Linked DNA regions of Nothobranchius furzeri. The protein of the gene in region 1 purifies or fractionates together with the protein of each later gene. This does not show direct contact. Links are inferred from orthologs where the notes say so. Each region holds a gene or a part of one and is shown in the gene's direction. Other genes may lie near its edges.

Evidence for each region.
Region 2: the proteins of nup107 (region 1) and sec13 purify together in Homo sapiens (affinity purification with mass spectrometry; 8 studies listed by BioGRID and IntAct, counting the BioPlex papers as one, with this or other methods). This does not show direct contact. The link is inferred for Nothobranchius furzeri from reciprocal best matches to the Homo sapiens genes NUP107 and SEC13.
Region 3: the proteins of nup107 (region 1) and tprb fractionate together in Homo sapiens (co-fractionation; 4 studies listed by BioGRID and IntAct, with this or other methods). This does not show direct contact. The link is inferred for Nothobranchius furzeri from reciprocal best matches to the Homo sapiens genes NUP107 and TPR.
Region 4: the proteins of nup107 (region 1) and nup37 purify together in Homo sapiens (affinity purification with mass spectrometry; 7 studies listed by BioGRID and IntAct, with this or other methods). This does not show direct contact. The link is inferred for Nothobranchius furzeri from reciprocal best matches to the Homo sapiens genes NUP107 and NUP37.
Region 5: the proteins of nup107 (region 1) and seh1l purify together in Homo sapiens (affinity purification with mass spectrometry; 5 studies listed by BioGRID and IntAct, with this or other methods). This does not show direct contact. The link is inferred for Nothobranchius furzeri from reciprocal best matches to the Homo sapiens genes NUP107 and SEH1L.

The regions. Positions count from the first base shown.
Region 1 is NC_091741.1:38,068,217-38,072,210, reverse strand, and holds part of nup107 (nuclear pore complex protein Nup107), read left to right. Parts: coding exon 1-83; intron 84-157; coding exon 158-318; intron 319-1,723; coding exon 1,724-1,849; intron 1,850-3,902; coding exon 3,903-3,994. UniProt on the Homo sapiens protein: Plays a role in the nuclear pore complex (NPC) assembly and/or maintenance. Required for the assembly of peripheral proteins into the NPC. May anchor NUP62 to the NPC. Involved in nephrogenesis.
Region 2 is NC_091743.1:73,558,599-73,563,094, reverse strand, and holds the start of sec13 (protein SEC13 homolog), read left to right. Parts: upstream 1-1,469; 5' UTR 1,470-1,599; coding exon 1,600-1,602; intron 1,603-1,793; coding exon 1,794-1,838; intron 1,839-2,504; coding exon 2,505-2,620; intron 2,621-2,784; coding exon 2,785-2,936; intron 2,937-3,619; coding exon 3,620-3,753; intron 3,754-3,900; coding exon 3,901-4,034; intron 4,035-4,147; coding exon 4,148-4,268; intron 4,269-4,496. UniProt on the Homo sapiens protein: Functions as a component of the nuclear pore complex (NPC) and the COPII coat. At the endoplasmic reticulum, SEC13 is involved in the biogenesis of COPII-coated vesicles.
Region 3 is NC_091748.1:67,332,964-67,336,957, reverse strand, and holds part of tprb (translocated promoter region b, nuclear basket protein), read left to right. Parts: intron 1-4; coding exon 5-204; intron 205-304; coding exon 305-595; intron 596-869; coding exon 870-1,024; intron 1,025-1,107; coding exon 1,108-1,188; intron 1,189-3,283; coding exon 3,284-3,472; intron 3,473-3,559; coding exon 3,560-3,712; intron 3,713-3,994.
Region 4 is NC_091741.1:39,626,928-39,631,469, reverse strand, and holds the start of nup37 (nucleoporin Nup37), read left to right. Parts: upstream 1-1,383; 5' UTR 1,384-1,444; coding exon 1,445-1,504; intron 1,505-1,529; exon of another isoform or gene 1,530-1,746; intron 1,747-2,720; coding exon 2,721-2,918; intron 2,919-2,998; coding exon 2,999-3,120; intron 3,121-4,542. Other genes in the region: parpbp (PCNA-interacting partner), read right to left, coding at 1-17, 120-356, 644-793. UniProt on the Homo sapiens protein: Component of the Nup107-160 subcomplex of the nuclear pore complex (NPC). The Nup107-160 subcomplex is required for the assembly of a functional NPC.
Region 5 is NC_091745.1:49,023,641-49,028,263, reverse strand, and holds the start of seh1l (nucleoporin SEH1), read left to right. Parts: upstream 1-1,771; 5' UTR 1,772-1,851; coding exon 1,852-1,962; intron 1,963-2,319; coding exon 2,320-2,370; intron 2,371-4,256; coding exon 4,257-4,403; intron 4,404-4,490; coding exon 4,491-4,623. UniProt on the Homo sapiens protein: Component of the Nup107-160 subcomplex of the nuclear pore complex (NPC). The Nup107-160 subcomplex is required for the assembly of a functional NPC.

The DNA.
Region 1 (3,994 bases):
TGTGATTGATTGGCTGCTGTTTGACCCCGCCCATCGAGCCGAGGCTCTGAAGCAGTCCAACGCCATCATGAGAAGATTCCTCGGTATTTTTGCTGTTACGAGTGTTTTAGTCGTTTTGCTCCAGCGAGGATTTCACCGACGACTCTTTGTCTCTCAGCGCTGCAGAAGCACGACGCAGCCAAAGCTGTTTTCTCTAAAGTTCCTGAAGACTCAATGAGGAAGATATACTCTCAGTGGACGAGTGTTGGTCAGACCGGTCCTCTTCCTGCTGAGGATGAGAACGCCATCAGAGAACACCTGTGCATCAGAGCCTACCTGGTCTGTTACCTTCTTGCCTGTTTAAGCATGCGTTAGTTTGTCTTTCTGCAAAATACTTTAGTTTGTAGTCAAACTCAAAGTTATCGCAAGTTGTGTTCAGCAACTGAGGAAGGGAAAGGTAGGCCTTAAAATGGAGCACACGTGTGTGTAGCTCTTCACAGCCTCCGTGTAGATGTGTGAATGGATTAATGATGCGCTGTAGTGTAAAGCGCTTTGGGGTCCTCTGACTCTGAAAGGCGCTACACACGCCAAGGTCATTTATCATTAAACTCATTCGCTTCCAGCGTTTTTACTGTTTTTTTTAGAGTCACAGAACGTTGCGCGCTAGGATGATGTCGACGCCAAAACAACCAAAACAAAGCGGAGACTCACCTCTTACATCAGGAAGAAACCGCGCGTTTCGAGCGTTATCCGTTCTTTCATAATCCGTTGTTGAATTGTGATCGGCAGAAGCTTTTCCGGTTCGCGCCTCACTTTTTTTACAGCAGCGTTCCAAAACGATCTCCTAACACATGGATGTTCTGCTTCCTGATCACGTGACGTGTGACGTACGCGGATGAAGATCGACTTCAGAGCTGAGATGTTTGTTCTCACGTTGCGGGGGCTCGTCCGACGCCCACACAGTAAAAACATGCAGATGACGACTTAAGTCGTCAGTGGCAGTGAACGAGTTAAACAGAGAGGAGGTCATCTAGCGTTGGCATCACTTTCAGCCACCTTTCACGTGGAGGAGGATGAGGGTTCAGGAAAGGTTTTGTAGCTGGATGAGCAGAATTGAAATGGTAAATGGTCTGTATTTGATATAGCGCCTTCTAGCGTCCTGGAACCCCCCAAGGTGCTTTACAACACACACACACATTCACACACTGGTGGGGATGAGCTACGATGTAGCCACAGCTGCCCTGGGGCGCCCTGACAGAGGCAAGGCTGCCGAGCACTGGCGCCACCGGTCCCTCCGACCACCACCAGCAGGCGAGGGCGGTTAAGTGTCTTGCCCAAGGACACAACAGCAGACTGAGCAGGGCTAGAACCTGCAACCTTCCGATTACGGAGCGAGCACTCCTGTGCCACGAAATTTAAACGATGACGGTAAAATAATAATATTAATAATAATAATATAGGGATGCCTTTTAAGGGTGAATTAAATCACGATTTTGAGCGTCTATTCTATAAAAGACACTGAGCTAAAAACTGAGCGTCATTCACAATATTTGACCAAACAGACAAAACACCGTTATTTCTCAACACCAGCTTTTAGTTTGAATCTCATCGCAAAAGCCAGATTATGGATGTCTCCTAGCAACGATGCAGGTTTAGTAGTTCTGACTTTCACAGCTGTTGAATGTGTCTCTTTAGGTGGATGACAGCGGTACACTGATGTGATTGTGTGTCGTTGGTCCAACAGGAAGCTCACGAGGCCTTTACCGACTGGTTCAGTCACAGCAGTTCAGCACCAAAAAAACCAGCACCTGCGCCCGAGGCCAAGTTCACCGAGAGGGTGGCCAACGAGATGAAAGAGAAGGATTACCAGGTACACCAGCTACAGAGATTAAATATAATCCAGCCCCTGTCGTTTATATTTTCCTTGAGCTGCTGCTTCTCCAGCAGCAGTTTTTCATGTTTAGAGTTTATAGAGGCAGCAGAGACACGCAAGACGTCACCAAAGGGTGCAAAATGTGAGATTGCGTTAAATGTCCCCTTCAAATGAAGAAGTGATTATAACAGGATTCTGCACATCGTCCCACGGCGGTGAGGAGGTGATTCAACCATTTTATTCAACAGGAAACATGTAAAACATGCAGGACAGTCGTCCCAGAGGACCGACACCCGGAACACACCAGACGCGGAAGCACGACGCCGCGAAGCGCTGTGCACGACGAGCAACGGCCGTTTCCGCATGAGCTCTCATTTTTTCGTGAGCCGCGTCCATTTTGGCAGGAAGTCGAACTAAAACAGGAGGCAGGCCGGTAGATTTAACAAAATAAAGAAAATTTTCTAAATAAAACACCGCGATTGATAAATGTAATCATTTTTGTGTTTCTAAACAGACTAGAGAGATGAAAATGAACAAACACACACACACACACACACACACACACGTCTGCAGAGAAACAGTGTTTCCATAATTTTAAATGCAGTTTTTACAGCAAAAGACGGATTTAATAAACTTGAATAGAAACAAATATGTTTAATTCAAAGGTAACTACAACAGTATTGTACACTTCCACACACACTTACCCATTTAGAAAAGAACTGGTCTGCAAAACAGCAGCAGGACCAGCGCAGTTTCTGATAACAAGCAGGGCCAGCTGGTTACACACACACACACACGCACGCATGCATGCACGGGAATGGGGTTCGGGGGGGATTGGAAAACAGTAGGCGTGAGCAGAAGTGCTCGCCGGAAATTATCGCCTGATGTGAACAGAGGAGCAGCGGGTGTGTTCTGGGCGTGAAGCTGGCCACCTGCGGCGTAAAGGTTCCATAAGAACTGAATCTGTTGGACAGAACCAGAAGTAAATGTGTAGATTCAAGTTGAAGGATGCAAAAAGTACAGGTGAAACGGGAAAAATTACAATCTGGTACAAAAGTTCACTGATGTCACTAATTCAGTCTAAAAGGTGAAACGAATCAGAGACCGACTCATTCCAGGCAAATCCAGATGTTATGACTGTGGCTTACAGCTGATGAAACCCACACGTTCAAAACCTCCGGCAGTCAGACTGTTGTGAAAAGGCTCAATATTCTAGACTCGGGGAAGACTCTGATCAGCTGATGAAGCCAGAACAGCTGCAGAGGGTTCCTGAGCCTTTAGATGGTCTCTCAGTCTGAGCTGCGTTACTGACATAAATGGTTAGTTTCACCTGTAAGCTCCAGGAAGTGAATCCTGTTGTTCTCCAGAACCCAGCTGCACCTGTAACTAAAGCTTCTGGGTGTTTTTGCTGAATAAATGCAAAAAAATTAGTTTTATTAGGTTCAGTGTTTAGGCTAATACTGCATCTGTGTCCAGGGCAGAATTCAATAACTTCCTTCAGTCCTTCACAATAAGAGTCTCAAACATGCATTCCTCAAATCAACCAAAGCTCATATAAGTAGTTTATTATAATTACTGTTTACATTGAGGTCCATCTGTTTTTTTGTCTACTCATGAGTCCCGTCGCAACGTTATGATCCAAACAACCTAAAGGGTATAAACAGATAAATAGATCAATAGTTTTATTAGTTTACCGTTAGCATTGTTATCATTCCCTCTGCTGGTAGCACCGGCACCTCTCCGCTACGCTGGAACATTCTGGAAGGTTCTGCAAGCCTACGAAGGGATCAAATTCTGTCTGTAGTTAGCTGAAGTCTCTTCTGGTGGTTTCTGGCCAAAATGACCTTTTATGCTGCTGTGCAGCTTTAAAACAATTTAGTTTGTGTGTCTCGACGATATTTTAGAGCATTAATAATGATTTACAATTCAAGATTCAATAGATTATATTGTCAACATGCTTAATCAAAGGCTTCTCTTCAGCACCGGGCCCATTGTGTTTAAGCCTTTTAGACTGCTTTGGTAACGTGTTGCTGTGTGTTTGGTGTCTCAGGCCGCTCTGACCACCTGGTCATGTCGTCTGGACGTTCTTACTGAAGATGTGAAGGAGAGGATCTACAACGTGCTGCTGTTTGTGGACGGAGG
Region 2 (4,496 bases), on another chromosome or scaffold:
CTGGTGGAGGATCCAAGTGCTGCAAGTGGGAATTTATTTACTTTTTTTTAACTAGATAAATATGTAAGTGTGCTGCTTGTCAATAAACCATTTATTTCATATAAAATTGCAATTTGGGGCTATAAGATGTTTTATCAGTGGGCTTGATAAAACATCTAGCTTCCATCCTACCACCTCACACATCACATTACATCACCTCACATCCACAATATCGCATCTCGTTATTCATATCTTGTCATGTATAAATATTAATTTTGTAAAAGAATTAAATTAATTTCATAAACTATATACCTGACTCTGTCTGAATTACAGTAATACAAAGTGTGTTTATGGTCCCTGAACAAGTAAAAGTAACTATATTCTTCTGATTAAACATTCAAAGATCAGTCAGGTTGATATTTCATATTTATATGGAATAATTTGTGTGTGTGTGTGTGTGTGTGTGTGTGTGTGTGTGTGTGTGTGTGTGTGTGTGTGTGTGTGTGTGTGTGTGTGTGTGTGTGTGTGTGTGTGTGTGTGTGTGTGTGTGTGTGTGTGTGTGTGTGTGTGTGTGTGTGTGTGTTACCGTGGTCTGGTGCCTCATATCCACACCCATCAGCGCCTCGCTAAGGAAGACGAACGTGTTTATTGCAGCTATGTAGCGAGGGTCATACAGAATTGCTTGAGCCCTCATCTGCAGCAGCAAGGACCTCAGTAAAAGGCCGAACCTGGTCCTTGGTGGGTTAGGATAAAAACAGCTGTCAGGTCAGACTATTGTGGGTTTATGGCGTCACCTTGTGGTCATCTGGGGTAACGACGTGATAATTTGCTGTCCAAAAATCACAATCTGAGAGACATCTTCAAAAATTGACTATTATTACCAGTTGATATTTAGGAGACCTGAAAAAGAAGCACTTGTTCCTCTTAAAATAATGTTTTTTTTTTGTTTTAATGTTGTATTGAAATGATAAAGGGAATGTAATGTATCGATGTGTTCTGTTTTCTGTCTTTTTCTATTTGTTTACGTGAATTCATGTTACTATTTTATTAGTAATTATAATATGATTACAGACAGGTGTAAATGTACTGTGTGTGTGTGCGTGTGTGTGTGTGTGTGTGTGTGTGTGTGTGTGTGTGTGTGTGTGTGTGTGTGTGTGTGTGTGTGTGTGTGTGTGTGTGTGTGTGTGTGTGTGTGTGTGTGTGTGTCCCAAGTATGTTTGTTTTACACTGAGTAGGAGATGCTCTGTATCTCACTTTACACCTGTATGGTGACAATAAAGGTATTCTATTCTATTCTATTCTATGTATAGAGGGTCTTTGTACATTTAAGTTTCCATCAATAATTTTAGCTTTTAGCTCAAATAAACTGTTTCCTTTTTATTGTTTGATTATTTTTTGTTTGTTTGTTTGTTAAATGAAGCGTTTTTAAAGTTTTTATTATTCTTCTTTTTTAATTCACGCAGAACTATCATTTGGCGTTTTGTTTTACCCGGTAGGAAGTGAGGTGGGACTCGGTGGAGGAAACGGCTTCTGTACTTGTTGCCACGTCGGAATTGTGAACCTTGTGAAGTTAGTCGATAGAGAACAGGGGCTTCTTGTTTACACGGTTTAGCCACAGCCATGGTGAATTTCGTCACTTTTTGTTTTAGTTTCAGCTCAAAATATTCTAGGATGTTGATTTTATGTTTACATTTTGCTGGCTAGTCTTGGTAGCTGTCAATCCATTAGCACGATCGCTAACGGCAGGAGGCTAATCTGTCTGGATATAGTTTTATATTTGCTTGATTTTGTTCTTATTTGTTTGTCAATTGCAGGTTTCCGTTATAAACACGGTGGACACTTCACACGAGGATATGATCGTAAGTGTTTATGTTTTATCCAGTTTTATTTTTATCTCTGATGCTAAAAGCTAACAGTTAGCGGCTGTAGCTTTTATCTTCATTCAGTACCACAAGTGTAAGTGTTCTGTGTAAAGCAGCAGTTTTTAATTTAAATATGTAATACTGTTGGGATGTGTGTTTTGAGAAAGGAGTAGCACATTGTTTTAATTAGTTTAGTGCTTTTAGATCGTTCAGTCAAAATGTTTGTCTTAACTGTACCAGATGCTATAGTGTAATAATTACAGAAACAGTGCTATGTGGATTATTCTGTAGTGTTGACTGTGAAAATTTGTTAAATAGTCTTTAAACTTCACTTAATCGGCGTGTTTTGCATTTTCGTTTTAGTTGTAGGGAAAATCTAGCCGAAATCATTCACGTATTCACATTCTCCCTAAAAAGATAAGATTAATCATGTTCTCAATGTTTCAATTTAAGGAAATCAAAACCAAAACAAACATTCAAATGATGCAGTTTATGCCGCACATTTGTTATGTGATGGTGAAAGATTTAAGGAATGGGTTTCAGTTTAGCACCATCAGTTCATTTATGAATAAACCAGGTGTCATGCTTCCATTGTTTGGTGCTTTTGCTGCCCCATAGAAATCCCCACCAACATTCCTGGTGTTGCTTTGTTGTCTGTTTCAGCATGATGCCCAAATGGACTATTACGGGACTCGACTCGCCACGTGTTCTTCTGACCGCACCGTTAAGATCTTTGACGTCCGCAATGGTGGACAGATCCTGGTGGCAGACCTCAGAGGGTAAGAGATCTAAGCTTTGGAATATGCACAGAAATTTACGTAAGTAGAGTTGTCAAGTGAATGTCAATACACTTCCATTTATTTCCTAAAGATTTAATCTTCACCTGTTCTGTAATGTATTTTTATTTATTTATTTGTGTGTGTGTGTGTCCTGCATCATGTAGCCACGAGGGCCCTGTGTGGCAGGTGGCGTGGGCTCATCCAATGTTCGGCAACATTCTAGCATCCTGTTCATACGACCGCAAAGTCGTCATCTGGAAGGAGGAGAACGGCACCTGGGACAAGATGTATGAGTACACTGGACACGAGTCATCAGGTAGAGTTCTCCATTATTCTAGTGCCGGGGTGTTCATTTCCAAGCCTGGAGGGCCAGTATCCATTATGTTTTAGTTTTAACTGTTTCAACACACCTGATTTCAATCAGCAGGTGATTAACAGGCTTCTGCAGAGCCAGATGAGCTGCTGCACAGGTGATTCAACCATTGAATCAGGTGTGTTAGAGCAGAGAAACTACTAAAATGTGCTGGATACCGGCCCTCCAGGACCGGAATTGAATATCCCTCTAGTGGTTTAAATGTGCTCCTCCTCCTCATTCTGCTAATCCATGTGGCCTTCTTGAAAGAAGTTCAGGTGCTAGTAATGCTGGAAGAAGTTCCGTTTTTCTTACAGATAACAAATGTTTTGATCTTAATGTTGTAATTTTATTTCTTCTTCTGCCCGACAGGTCAGTGTAATGCACCAAAGTACACGTCTTGTTTCAGATATGTTCTCTTTTTTTTTGCCAACACCTTTAGAAAAATGAAATATTCAGATTAAGTTCTGTTTCTACAACATTCTCTTTTGTTTGAGTACATTTCTTTTTCCCTTTCTAATTGATCCTTCCTTTTTAAGAAATTACAAAGAAATTCATGTTCATATATTGGGGCTGAGAGATCAGTTTGACTGAATAGTTTTCCACACAACTTGATCTCGTCCTTAACTCTGTCTCTGTGTTTGCAGTGAATTCAGTCTGCTGGGGTCCGTATGAATTTGGTCTAATCCTAGCCTGTGGCAGTTCAGATGGAGCAATTTCCCTCCTCACATTTACTGGTGATCAGCAGTGGGACGTCAAGAAGATCAGCAACGCACACACCGTGAGTTAAAAATGAAATGGTTTTCCTAAGTTGTCACCAATCTTTTAAACTTTATTCTGTCTCACCTTTTCTAATTTAGTGTTTCTGTGTCTTTTGGGGCGTGAAGTGTATCTTTAGAATAATTAAAAGCTTTATTTTTTGCTTCAGATTGGCTGTAATGCAGTGAGCTGGGCTCCTGCTGTAGTTCCAGGCAGCCTGATCAATCAGCCATCAGGTCAGAAACCAAACTACGTCAAACGCTTCGTCTCTGGCGGATGTGACAACCTGGTGAAACTCTGGAAGTAAGTTGCTGTTGAAAATCTGTCATCCTGTATGGATAAAAAAAAGAACACTTTCAACAGTGAACGTCAGATGTAGCTAATATTCTGTGGCCTGAATAATGTTCTGCCTGCAGAGAGGAAGACGGTCAGTGGAAAGAGGACCAGAAGTTGGAGGCGCACAGTGATTGGGTCAGAGACGTCGGCTGGGCTCCTTCTATTGGTCTTCCCACCAGCACCATCGCCAGCTGCTCCCAGGTCCGATTTCTTTTTTTTTCTTTTTTTTCCCCCCCGTGTCCTGTCTGGCTGTGAAGCAAACAGAATTGATGTCTGAATGCTGGTGACAAGCCTTACAGATTTACTCTCAGGTGGAGCATCAAAGCGTCTGCTTTTAATGTCACACCTGGTACTTAAAACTTTATTGTTATTGTTTTTGAATGCTTTGTAATTCCGACCAGACACGGAGTCAGAGGTGAAAGAGAAAGA
Region 3 (3,994 bases), on another chromosome or scaffold:
ACAGCGCCAGCACTTCTGACCCTCCTCCGACTGCCAACATTAAGCCAACGCCTGTAGTCGCCACACCCAGCAAACAGACCAACAACCCGGGAAGTAAACCCACTCCACGAGCAAGCATCAGACCCATGATTACCCCGGCCCCCGTGCCCACACCAACACCAACTGCTACAGTCATGCCAACCACACAGGTGGAGACCCAGGAAGGTAGCTGCAAAGTACAAATCAAATCAAATCCAATATGTTACTGAATTTTTTCTAAGTCCTGAACAAAGTGTAATTTCCTGTTAACCCTGATCTTCAACAGCCATGCAGTCGACTGAAAGCCCACCGGTGGAGCACGTGACCGTGTACGGCAGTGCCAGTGGTTCTGTGCGCTCCGCCAGCCCAAATGTCCAGACCACTTTAGCTAGTCCCATGTTGACCGTGCAGCAGACCCAGACCCAGGCCACGGCATTTGTTCAGCCGACGCAACAACAGAGTGTGACCCACTCAGAACCGGCCAGTCAGGACCCTCTGCCAGTTGTGATCGAGGCAACGCCCAGTTCTCAGGTGGAATGGCCATCAACGTCTTCCACTTCCTCTGTGTTTGGCACTGGTGAGAAATCCTCATAATAATCTGATGTGGATTAGGATTTGTTATTTACTAAGAAGATGTTTTTACAATTTTAACCATTTCTTTTTTAAATAATGGGAAAGTCCAAGTTAAGGAAATGTGTATCATATTAAAAAGCATTTTGCTCATTTTTATTTTACATTTAAAAATGGACAAAGGAAGATCTCACTGACTCACACAAAGTTGTATATTTTTGCTTTTCGTGCTACAGTTTAGAATAGATTGAAGGGGGTGGTTAATAATTGTCCATCTCTAGTTTCAGCGACACCGGGAACTTCTGCTTTGTCCAAGAGGCCTCGTGAGGAGGAGGAAAGCAGCGTCGTGACCGCTGAGACCGAAACAACCCAGGAGGACACCTCCAGGACTCCCATAGCCAAAAAGCTGCGCATGATCCAGAGAGTGGGCCCAGAGGTGAGGATCTAAACACCAGTGTTTACCAGATCTTGTTCAAATAAAAGCTGCTCCCATGGCTGATTTTCATCTGGTCTTCCTAGGAGGAGGTTCTGGTTGAGGAGAGTGGCGAAGCTGAAGGCGTAGTTCCATCGGACAGTCAGGATGGTGCAGAGCCAAGCCAGGTCACATGTCATCACTTATTTGAAGTTCTCTTACAGCTTCTGTTTCACCCAATAATGCTTTGGAGAAAAGTAGAATTCATTGAATATTTTTAGGATCTTATTTGGCATAAACATGAAGAGACATGCAACCATGCTAACTTAAACCTTTCGGAGCAAGGGTAGGCGCATATGTGATACAATATTACCGTTGGCACTTTGGCCATTCAGTCCCTTTACCAGAGGAGCGTGAGTTTGGTCCGCATAGCCGGTAGTAAGTCGGACCTGTTCCCAGTGAGGGTTGGACTCCGCCAGGGCTGCCCTTTGTCACCGGTTCTGTTCATCACTTTTATGGACAGAATTTCTAGACGCAGCCGTGGTGTGGAGTGTGTCGAGTTTGGTGGCAGGAGAATCTCGTCTCTGCTTTTTGCGGATGATGTGGTCCTCCTAGCTTCATCCAGCTCTGACCTTCAGCTCTTGCTGGGTAGGTTCGCGGCCGAATGTGAAGCGGCTGGGATGAGGATCAGCACCTCCAAATCTGAGACCATGGTTCTCGACCGGAAAAGGGTGGCTTGCCACCTCCGGGTCGGGGGAGAGGTCCTACCTCAAGTGGAGGAGTTTAAGTATCTCGGGGTCTTGTTCACGAGTGAGGGTAGGAGGGATCGGGAGATCGACAGGCGGATTGGTTCAGCGTCTGCAGTGATGCGGACGCTGAGCCGATCTGTCGTGGGGAAGAGGGAGCTGAGCCAGAAAGCCAGGCTCTCGATTTACCGGTCGATCTACGTCCCAGTCCTCACCTATGGTCATGAGCTTTGGGTAATGACCGAAAGAACGAGATCGCGGATACAAGCGGCCGAAATGAGTTTCCTCCGTAGGGTGGCCGGGCTCAGCCTTAGAGATAGGGTGAGGAGCTCGGACATTCGGGAGGGACTCGGAGTAGAACCGCTGCTCCTCCGGATCGAAAGGAGCCAGTTGAGGTGGTTTGGGCATCTGGTCAGGATGCCTCCTGGACGCCTCCCCGGGGAGGTGTTTCGGGCATGTCCTGCCGGCAGAAGGCCCCCGGGTCGACCCAGGACACGTTGGAGAGGTTACATCTCCAATCTGGTCCGGGAACGCCTTGGGGTCCTGCCGGAGGAGCTGGTGGACAAGGCCGGGGAGAGGACGGCCTGGAGCTCCCTAGTTGGGATGCTGCCCCCGCGACCCGGACCCGGATAAGCGGAGGAAGACGACACTTTGGACACTTAATTTGTTCTGAAATATAATTATTTTCTTGAGATATTCTATCAGCCTGGGTAGAAGACGCTTGGATTCCATGAAATTGCACCTCCAACTGTGTGATTTCCAACCATTTCATGACCTATCCCTAGATCCCAAGCAACGCAGCGTGGACCATGAAGAAGAAAGCAGCTTTGGCAACACGCACACCCACCAAACTTTGCAACCATTCCACTAGCGGTTAACCTTTCGGTTTTGCTCATCCCTCTCCGTCAGGTGGTTTTAACGTTTGAATGGTGCCAGTTTGAAGGAGTAGTTGGTGTTTAAATCCACTCCGGTACTGGCGGAGGTTTAACAATCAGTCTGTGAAATCACTGTCACCTGGCTTGGTCTTGAGAGCTCCTGAAGATAAAATCCAACCGTTTCTAGTGAGTAAGATCTTCTTTGGGAAGACCGAACAAAGTCCTGTACCTCTCACAGCCAAAGATGTGTTTTTGCATTCTAGAGTGCAGACTAGATGAGAAATAAGTAGCTTTTTGTACATCTGAGGAGATTAAATCACCCACTTGCAACTCGGAGAGTGGGCGTGATTGTTTACAGGGTTGGAGCAGGACAGGTTGATACACACCTGCAACTTCCAACTGTTTGCAATAGCTGGGCAGACCAGCAGCCAAAAATCACTTAGGGTGTTTTTGATTAGGAAATAACAAGACAACACTGTCAAAAGCTCAAAAAGTACATTCGCACAATATAGTCCCTGTAAGTAATTAAGTTGATCTCAGTTGTCTTGAATGTGCTGCACAAACAAATCAGACGTGGATCTTGTGGAGTATGGCACTACCTTCTCCCTCTGCTGGGAGCTGTAAGCTGCGTGTGTTTGACCTACATGCTCTTCTCTATGCAGACGGAGGAGTTCTCTAACCTGGAGGAAATGGAGGATGATGTCGCTACTCAGTCCATCATGGAGCACGGGGTCACCCCAACCCAAAGTGAGACCCAAGACCCTCTGCCGCAGGAGGTCATTGTCATCCTGACTGACTCTGAGAGTGAAGATGAGCAAGACGACGACGACGAGGAAGAAGAGGAAGAGCAGGTAGTGAGTTTGTGTGAAACACTTTTGAAGTCTCTGTGAAATATATGGGTAAGGCTCATTGGTGCATTGACCTCCTGGTGACTGTAGGATTATGTGGAGGAGGAGGAAGAAGATGAAGAAGAGGAGGAGGAGGAAGATGAAGAAGAGGAGGAAGACGATGGAGAGATGGCAGAGGAAGGAGACGACAGTAATGAGGGGAGTGGAGATGGCAATGAGGCCTATGAAGGGGACGACACAGAGGTTAGAGCATCACCGTGCTCACTTCCAGTCAGATGTTTGTTCTCTTTTCCTGCTCACCGCTCAGTTGCTCCACCGCCTCAGCTCACTGTCACATGTGATCGACCCTGCTGCTGTAACCTGTCTGCATGGGATTTTCACCCATATTTACTTGAGCTCTTTCTTGGATGCTCTTGTTTATGCTGAGTCAGCATTTAAAGTCTTAACGGTGTCTAGGTGTGTTTTTGGGTTAAATGTCATTTGAATACGGCATTAAACTGTTTGTTCCTTTTTGGGATGTTTTCA
Region 4 (4,542 bases), about 1.6 Mb from region 1:
ACCTCAAACAGCTGGATCTTGGTGAAAAACAAAAAAGTTAAGAGCACATTAGATTTTTCATCAGTTTTATCTATAATTCAATAACCAAATCAAGTCTCCACTAACTATTTACTGCTCACCGAGCCTACGGGCTCCTCTGGGTCAGAGTCCACCACCTTGAGCTGTTTGTACATGGACAGGACATCAATCAGATCCAGCGTGTTGGAGCGTTGCAGGAAAGATTCATACGCCTCCAGGATGAGATCATAGTTCTCCAAACGTGCAGAGCTGGGGGGCGGCAGGTGAAGTCTGTCTAACAATAAGTGTTTCCAGGCCATCAGGACGTCACTCAGAGCCACTCTGAACTCTCCATTCAGCTGTCAGAGGAGGAGAGAAGAAGTCACAATTACTGATGGGTTGGAACCAACCAGTCCAAAAGGAGAAAGACCTGCAGAGGTCCAAAAAATTAGCAATCAGAAGTCTCATTCGGGTATTGTCATCAGGTATGGACGTTCTATTATTATGTTTTATTACAGAGTGCATGCCTCTGTGAAATAAATATGAAAAATTTTAAATATATGTTAACAAAACTAAAACCTAGGTTATTGGAAGATTTGATTTTTAAAATTAATCTGCATCACAAACAGGATGAACTAACGCTCACCTGTTTGTTCACTTCTGCCATGGCCACCTGCAGCACCAGCAGCATGCCGTCAGCTCCATGAATGGTGGTCCTTTCAGACTCCAACATCCTGTGACACTCTCTCCTGAAGGTTTTCACCATCACCTTGAGGCGGTCCCCTAAAGCTGTCATTATATCCTATAACAAAAATAGCAGAAAGAGCTCTTTAAGACTGTTTTTGTGTTGGTTTCAAGATTTAGAAAAGGGTTAAGTAACATTTACTAGAAGAGCTTTAGTTTGTGTTTGAAAGGCAAATAAAATATGTTGAACATAAATGTAAAGCCTAACATCTTCAGTCAGATGTTGTGGCCAGCAACTGCTGAAATAACACAACTAACGTGTTCCATTATATTTATTTTTATTTTCATCACCTGTATGTACCCCCACACACTCGACACATTTATATTAAAATTTGACCCCAAAAAGTGGGTTTAAACCGTTTAAACAGTTCTAACCTGTTTTCTCGTTGCAGCCTTCCAAGTCCACGACAAAGGCAGCAGCTGTTTTGAAATTTTAAATCGACTGTGACGCCATGTGCCTTCTGGCCAATTAAATTGAAGCAAGCACACAGGGGGGCTTTGTACAAATGTACTTTTAGATCAATCACATTTTACGAACTGTTAACAGTTTACTGAAGTTGAAGTTAGCATAAATTATGATTAAGTACGATTGTATTTTCATGTATTTAAAAAAATATGTATGATTTATTTAGGTTCGTTGTACCCCTTAACCCCCTGATATTTTCAAATGATGGTACGTTCCACAAATCGTATCCGGAAGTAGATGAGAAAACCATCGAGCGCGCGGCGTTGTTTATGCAGCAATTTCACTGCCAGTAGTTTGGTAAAGTATTGAAGCTATTACAGGGTTTGAAATGGAAATATACAATATATAGAAATAATTGGATCATAAGTTGTCGGTTTGAGCATTTACTGCTAAAAACCAGTAATAATTGGAGCCCCAGGTTTTAGCTCACTGTTATGTGCACGCGTGGAGTGGACAGAGTTTACTGGAAATACATTTATACGCGACAAAAGAGGCAGTTTTTGTTCCCAAATGTTCGGGATACCCCACTGTTGTAACTGGTAACTGTAAAGCCGTTTACAAAAACTGTAGTTTAATGTAACTCAAGTATCTTTCCTGTGTAATTTTTCTATTTATGATTTATTCAAGTTTGATTTGTGTTTACAATTTGCCGAATTAAACAGTGACCTAAATAGCTTTGTAGCATCATTCGCAATGTTTCTCACTGATTTTACCAGGACTACCTTCCAAAATTTGTAAAAGAAAAGTACAATTTAAGGAAACCAGGTGATCAAGCCCTCTCCGTTATCCTCAGCCAAAACCAGCCTGTGCCTTTTAGATTTTATGATTTAAGTTATATAATTTTTAATTAGTCTGAACATCTTTCAGATTTATTTTTGTGTCATTTTAAATAAAAGTTAATCAGTAATCCGGGTTTCCAAGTCGAGAAGGGTTTCTGCCTAAATAAACAAATACAAGAGCATAAGCAGTTCACTCCTAACTGCTTTACCCTCAGCAGGGTCATGGGTAGCTGGTAACTCCAGCGATCATCAGGCGAGAAGCAGAGAACAGCCTAGATAGTTCTCCAATCCATCACAGGAACGCACAGATAACCAGTCACTCACACTCAAAACTTGAGACAATTAACCTGAAATGCATCTCTTAGGTCAGTGCCATAGCCAGGACTTTAACCTGCAACCTTCTTGCTGCAAGGCTACCAGCTATGTCAATGTGGAGCCCCTGCATTTGTGCATTATATTAATATTAATAACTTAAAACTAGCCATTGGATGAACTAAGAAATAATGAAGACATATTTTTTCAAGCACATTCTGTGAAAAGTGAGAAGTCATCAAAATGATAGACCGAGTAACACGTTTAACAGTTGTGAGTAAAGTAACCAATTACATTATTACCTGAATACAACTGAGACAAACTGAAACAACTCATTACTAGAACAGTTTTACCGGATCTGTGCAGAAATGATCCTGTTTAATGTGCTAATTTGCCCCTCTTTGTTTTGATATAAATAACAGTGGAAGTCCCGGTTCAGAGCCAGCTTTCCCAGCATACACGTCATGCAGGAGGGCGCTATCCACAGTCCCAGCTACACTGTGCCATGTGACGACTACGTCCATGTGGTGGAGTTCAGTCCCTTCAGCTCGGGTACCCCCGTCTCTCTCCTGGCTTACGGTGGGAACCAGTATGTGGTGGTGGCCACCTGCCTCTTCCAGGTTAGAGATGCAGCTCCACACAGCCAGGTTTACCCTTCACATCGATTATTTTTGTCTTTCATGTGAATTTGCATCAACAGGAGGAGGATATGGAGGTGGAGGGAGTTGAATTCAACATACTTCGAGCTTTTCATCACGAGTTGCAAGTCGAAGTTTTGGCTTGGAGTCCAGAGTCTCAGCTGAACAGGATACCTACCATCAGGTATAACATTTTACCATAATTATTTTGTAAATCTTTGCTGACTGGTAACAGAATACTGTGTTATTATGTGTCAATTGCCTTGCTTGTTCGGTGGATCACACGTGTAATCTTAGCAGTGTCAACCCTAATACCTTTTTTTGCAAGTCAACTATATTTTCATAGTTCCGTTTTTCAGATCTAAGTTGTGTGTTTATATATCCGACGGTGGGCGGAACCAGGACCCAGCTGGGGAAATTCCCGGTGGCCCTATTTGAGTTCGGTGTTTTTTGGGTTTTTATTTATTTATTTATTTTTTCGGGCCGGTGTTACTCTGTAGATCACCTGCTGCTGATGAGAGGATTTCTCCTGTCAGGAACAGGTGAGCTGCTGCCAACCTAACCCAACAAGCTTCTGTTCCTAGAAACACGTTCTAGCCCAGAGTGACCTGTTATTTATGATTTTATAATTAATATTAAGTGAATGCTCAAAACTCACAGGTGATGGGAAAATAAAATTAAATAAGCCTGTATATTTTCTCCCACAGCTCAGCTCTGTTAGAAATAAGCAGATGTCTGCTTCAGCTGGACAATATCAAGTATAAAAAGTGCTCACAGATAACTGTTCTCTTAATGAAGAAACAATATTAATTATTTTTAAATTTAATATTGATTTTATTTCATTTCTAAGGTTTAGATGTCTGCGAACATTACAGAATTTTTGATTAGTGTAAATAATACACACTATTATTAAAGGGACTTTACGGAGTTTTGAATTTTGATGCTTGCGATTGCCCCCTCAGGCCAAAAGCGTAACGGCAGCTTCAATAGTAGGCTCGTGCACGAGGCGCACATGCTGTACGTGCACACTCCTTAACGAAAATAGCAGCTGACAGTCCCGTGTGTGTGTGTGTGGCCCGGAGGACAGGAGAACGCACAGCTAATTAAATAAATAATTTGGTTCTGTACTTTTCTCTTCAGCACAGCCGACAAAGGTTTATGATGGGTCAGTCCTCCTGCATGCTCAGATCATTCCCTTCCCTTGCTTGAAAAATTGTTCCAAAATGAAAGTTGAACCCACATCTTTTTTATCTGTGAATTCAATGCCGTTCGGCGAGTCTCAAATAAAAATTTGGGCATCTTACTGTAAAAAAATATACCATTAATGTAAAAAAGAAACTCAAAATGAACTATATTTACATCCAGAATCGAACCCGGGTCTTCTGCACAGGAGTCCGCCGTCTTACTGGGTGAGCTATAGCATCAGTGACATCTTTTGTATCTGTAACATTTATATCCTTGATGACAGCTGAAACAACGTTCAAAGAACGGTTCGTAGAGAAAATGGCAATTTTGTTGCTAATTTGTAGGAAATATCTAGAAGAAAGTAGCTAAGGGTCCTCAGAAATGAAGCTAGGTTCATCACTAGGCGTTAGGAACAGCGACA
Region 5 (4,623 bases), on another chromosome or scaffold:
GTGGGCTTCCTAAACTTATTTTGGCGTGGCTTTTTCTGTCTTATTACTCATAGCAGCAAGTAAACATCACGTAAAACGTTGCCTCGTGAGTTCTGCGTGCTGCCGTTTACGTGTTTTATGATCACAGCAGTTAACCGGCTAAGCTGTATTTAATTTTTAAGCAATGGTTGATCAATTGTCAGATCACACATAAAAAGCATTTTGGATTGCTATTATTTGTCTCACCGAGTCAGATCTCAGACAGATCCTGAGACGCTCCTGCCTGACATATTTATTTTATTCATGGAAAACAATCAAACTAGTGATTTCTCTTGGTGTTCAGTTTATACATTCAAACAGCACAGCACTCTATTTAAACTACTTACGTGTAAATCTGTTATTTGTCCATCCATCCATTTTCATCCGCTTATCCGGAGTCGGGTTGCGGGGGCAGTAGCGTCGAGAGGTCCAGACTTCCCTTTCCCCAGCCGCCTGAGCCAGCTCCTCCGGGGAAATCCCAAGGGGTTCCCCGGCCAGATCCGGTAAGAAGTCCGCTCCGACAGCTTCTGGCGTTTTAAAAAAGTATCCCAGGGGCACGGTTAAGGGTCGGAGATGTTTGGTCTATTTAATTTCTGACTATATAAAACGATTTCTTCAGTTTTAAAGTGTGAAGTAAACTCAGACGAAGTAAAATCCAAGCCGATCCCGTTCATGTTCATGTTTACGATCCGTGTTTGTTTACCATTTTTTCCCTGCCAATATGGCGTCTACTAACTGAGAGTCACGTGGGGTCCGGAGCTCTATAGATGTGTGTAGTCAATAATTTGGCACTTTAGTGCATCTTATAATTTAAATATGCAGCCTAAAACTGTCAGTGTTGCGCCCCCTTCAGGTAAAAACTCTGCACTACATTTGAATTTAAATCTGCCATCACTGTTGGCTAAGAGGTACCCTTTGAAGTCAGCTGGTACATTATGATGTCACAATGCCGTTGTGAACCTGTTTGTGTGTGTTTGTTAACGGCTCCGCCCTCTCGGTCAGCCAGGCAAACGCATTCGTTGCATTTTTCAAACATGAAGTGGGAGTGTAGTAAGTTTCTTGTAGTGTGACTTGCTCTTTAATTAAATGAAATGCTACAGCATTTGTGGCCATAGCAACTCATGAGGGGAACTCATTCTCTTATTGTTTAGCTAAAAATGCAATAATAACTGTATTTATGTTACAGGTTAAACACGGTCATCTCCCCTTCCCTTCTTAACAAAACCAAAGTGTAATTCCCCAATGCATAAACATTAACATGCTGGTGCTGGTGGTGATGAGCTACATCGTAGCTACAGTTGCCCTGGGGCTCATTGTGTGTGTGTGTGTGTGTGTGTGTGTGTGTGTGTGTGTGTGTGTGTGTGTTTGTGTGTGTGTGTGTGTGTGTGTGTGTGTGTGTGTGTGTGTGTGTGTGTGTGTGTGTGTGTGTGTGTGTGTGTGTGTGTGTGTGTGTGAATAACTGGTTGTATTGTAAAGTGCTTTGAAGGGGGTTGTAGAACCCTAAGAAGTGAGTGACTTATGCTTAAGTGTACCATGAACATCTCATTTGTATCTAAAATGCAGTAAATTCGCCAAACTTGGCAACCCTGTTTGAATTGAAGCACCCCCCCCCCCAATGTGGTTCACTGTTCAAAAACCTCTCTCTCTCTCTCTCTCTCTCTCTCTCTCTCTCTCTCTCTCTCTCTCTCTCTCTCTCTCTCTCTCTCTCTCTCTCTCTCTCTCTCTCTCTCTCTCTCTCTCTCTCTCTCTCTCTTTCTCTCTGTCACGTGACAGGCGGGAGCTTGTGCTAACCAGTGCAGTGCAGCTAATCTCGCTGTTGTTTTTCTTCTAACCATGTTCGTAGCTCGGAGTATCGCTGCGGACCATAAAGATCTGATCCACGATGTCTCTTACGATTTTCACGGCCGGAGAATGGCAACATGCTCCAGCGACCAGAGTGTGAAGGTGAGCTGACTCAAGCTAGCATGTTAGCGTCACCCACGTTCCTAGCTTCTTACTGAACACACTCGTGTTGTGTGCTGGCACATTATGCGCTTATTAGCTAAATTAGACAAAATTTGTTTTAAAACTATAAACTAATTTAAAGTATTGCATGTTACTGTACTTACATTGTAGCATGCAGGCTAATGTGTGCAGACGTTTGACTGGAATATGAACGTATCAGTAAAAGCTTCAATCACGTAAGGCAGCGAGTGTTGTGTTTTAGGTAGGAACCATAGGAACTCATTTCGTGTGTTGTCAGTTTAAAATTAATGTGTGGAGATGACGTAACAGCAGCTGTTTATTGTGACTTCCTGACAGGTTTGGGACAAAAGTGAGAATGGAGAGTGGCACTGCACAGCCAGCTGGAAGGTAAACAACCTGCTTACGTTTGTTTACATGACCGTAAAAGCCCTTCCTGGGTAATCTTTGCTGTTTCAACAGATTTACTATTGCTCTACACTCACGGGCACTATCAAGTTTGCCAATAGATCCGGGTTGGACCTCTTTTAGACCTCTTTAGAACCACCTTAATCCTTCATCTCAAAGAGCCAACAAGAAGTTAAAGTGGTCCTCAGAGGCTCTGGTCCAACCTGACATGACAGCATCGGCTCCAACCATGATGAGAAGCTCCAGTTCCACCACATCCCAAAGGTTCTGGGCTGGACTGAGATCTGTTGACTGTGGAGGCCATTAGAGTCCAGTTCTAGAAACTAGTTAGAGATGATCTGAGCTATGTGACATGGTGCTGCTGGAAGTAGCATCAGAAGATGGGTCTATGTGGTCATAAAGGGCTGGACATGGTCAAACTCTTCAGCTTCTCTTCTTCTATTCTATACAACATTCAAACCATGGAAATGTCTTTTCCTCCACATTCTGATGCTCAGTTTCAACTTCAGCAAGTAGCCTTCATCATGTCTAGATGCCTAAATGGACAGTGCCGCCCGTCATGCGATTGGCTGAGTGGAAATGTGCAAAGCTGTAGAATAGGTCAATCAATCAAAGCTTTCAATCAATCAAAGCTTTATTTATAAAGCGCCTTCCGCAACCCTGTCAGGAAGCCCAAAGCGCTGAACATGGTACAGTTGTAAGTAATTATATTGAATAAATCAACAATAAAAGAAATTCAAATTACAAAATACAAATTACAAAATACAAAATGGAAATTACAAGATAGATGAAACATTCCGGTAAAATACAAATGTGTGAAACACATTTGGATTGAGTGGATGGATTGAGTGTACCAATGAAAACTGTGGAATGGATTCAACATAAAAGAGTGCCAAAATCAAACATGTTCTGGAAATGCCAAGCGGAGGAGGTGTGTTTTTAGGTGATTCTTAAAGACTGGCAGAGAAGGGGACAGCCTAACTGAGGGTGGCAACTGGTTCCAGAGTAACGGTGCTAGGACTGAGAAAGCTCGGTCCCCACGGGTACGACACCTAGACCGAGGGACAGCGAGCAGGCCTTGGTCAGAGGAGCGCAGAGCGCGTGATGGGGAGTGTCTTTTCAGGAGTGTGGCTAGATAGGGGGGAGCACCACCCTGGAAGAAATGATAAACAAAGACGAGTATTTTGAATTGTGAGCGATAGGAAATCGGAAGCCAGTGCAGGGAGGCCAGAACTGGACTGATGTGGTCCCGTTTCCTGGTCCCAGTCAGGAACCTGGCAGCGCTGTTCTGCACAACCTGTAGGCGATGCAGTGTTGACTGATACAACCCTGCATATAGAGAGTTGCAGTAGTCAAGCCAAGAAATTAGAAAGGCATGCAGTACCCGCTCCAGGTGGGCTCTTGACAGCATATGCTTGATTTTAGCAAGGCGTCTCAGGTGAAAGAAACTGGACCGGATCACAGAATTGATGTGAGCATCAAATTTAAGTCCTACATCAAGTTTCACCCCCAAACTGGTAACAACTGGTTTTGAGTATGGAGAAAGAGGGCCAAGATCAGCATAACGATCCACATTCCTGCTGTTGGGGTGAAAAACAATGAGCTCTGTCTTTCCCTCATTCAGATGTAGATAGTTGGACATTAGCCAAGACTTCACCTCATTAACACAGGAGACAAAGGACTGAATAAAGTGACCTTTCTCCTGACACAATGGAGAGTAAATCTGGCAATCGTCAGCATACAGATGGAATGATAGGCCATGTTTACGAAAGATTGACCCCAGAGGTAGCAGATGTACCTATGAAGTGACTGGTGAGTGTATATTTGTGTATTTTGGACTTATCCATGATGTAATGATGTGTGTGCAGACCCACAGTGGATCAGTGTGGAGAGTAACCTGGGCCCATCCAGAGTTTGGGCAGGTCCTGGCCTCCTGCTCCTTCGACAGAACAGCTGCTGTCTGGGAGGAGATCGTAGGGGAGTCCAATGACAAACAGAGAGGCCTGAGCCACTGGGTTTGTACAGCCACAGCTCAGTCATTAATGTTTTCATAGGTTTGCCTGTCTCGAGTCCTGACCCGTGTTTCTGGTGCTCTGATTCAGATAAAGAGAACAACACTGGTGGACAGCAGAACATCTGTAACTGATGTGAAGTTTGCTCCTAAACACATGGGTCTGATGCTGGCCACCTGCTCTGCTGATGGAGTGGTGAGGATCTACGAGGCTCCTGACGTGA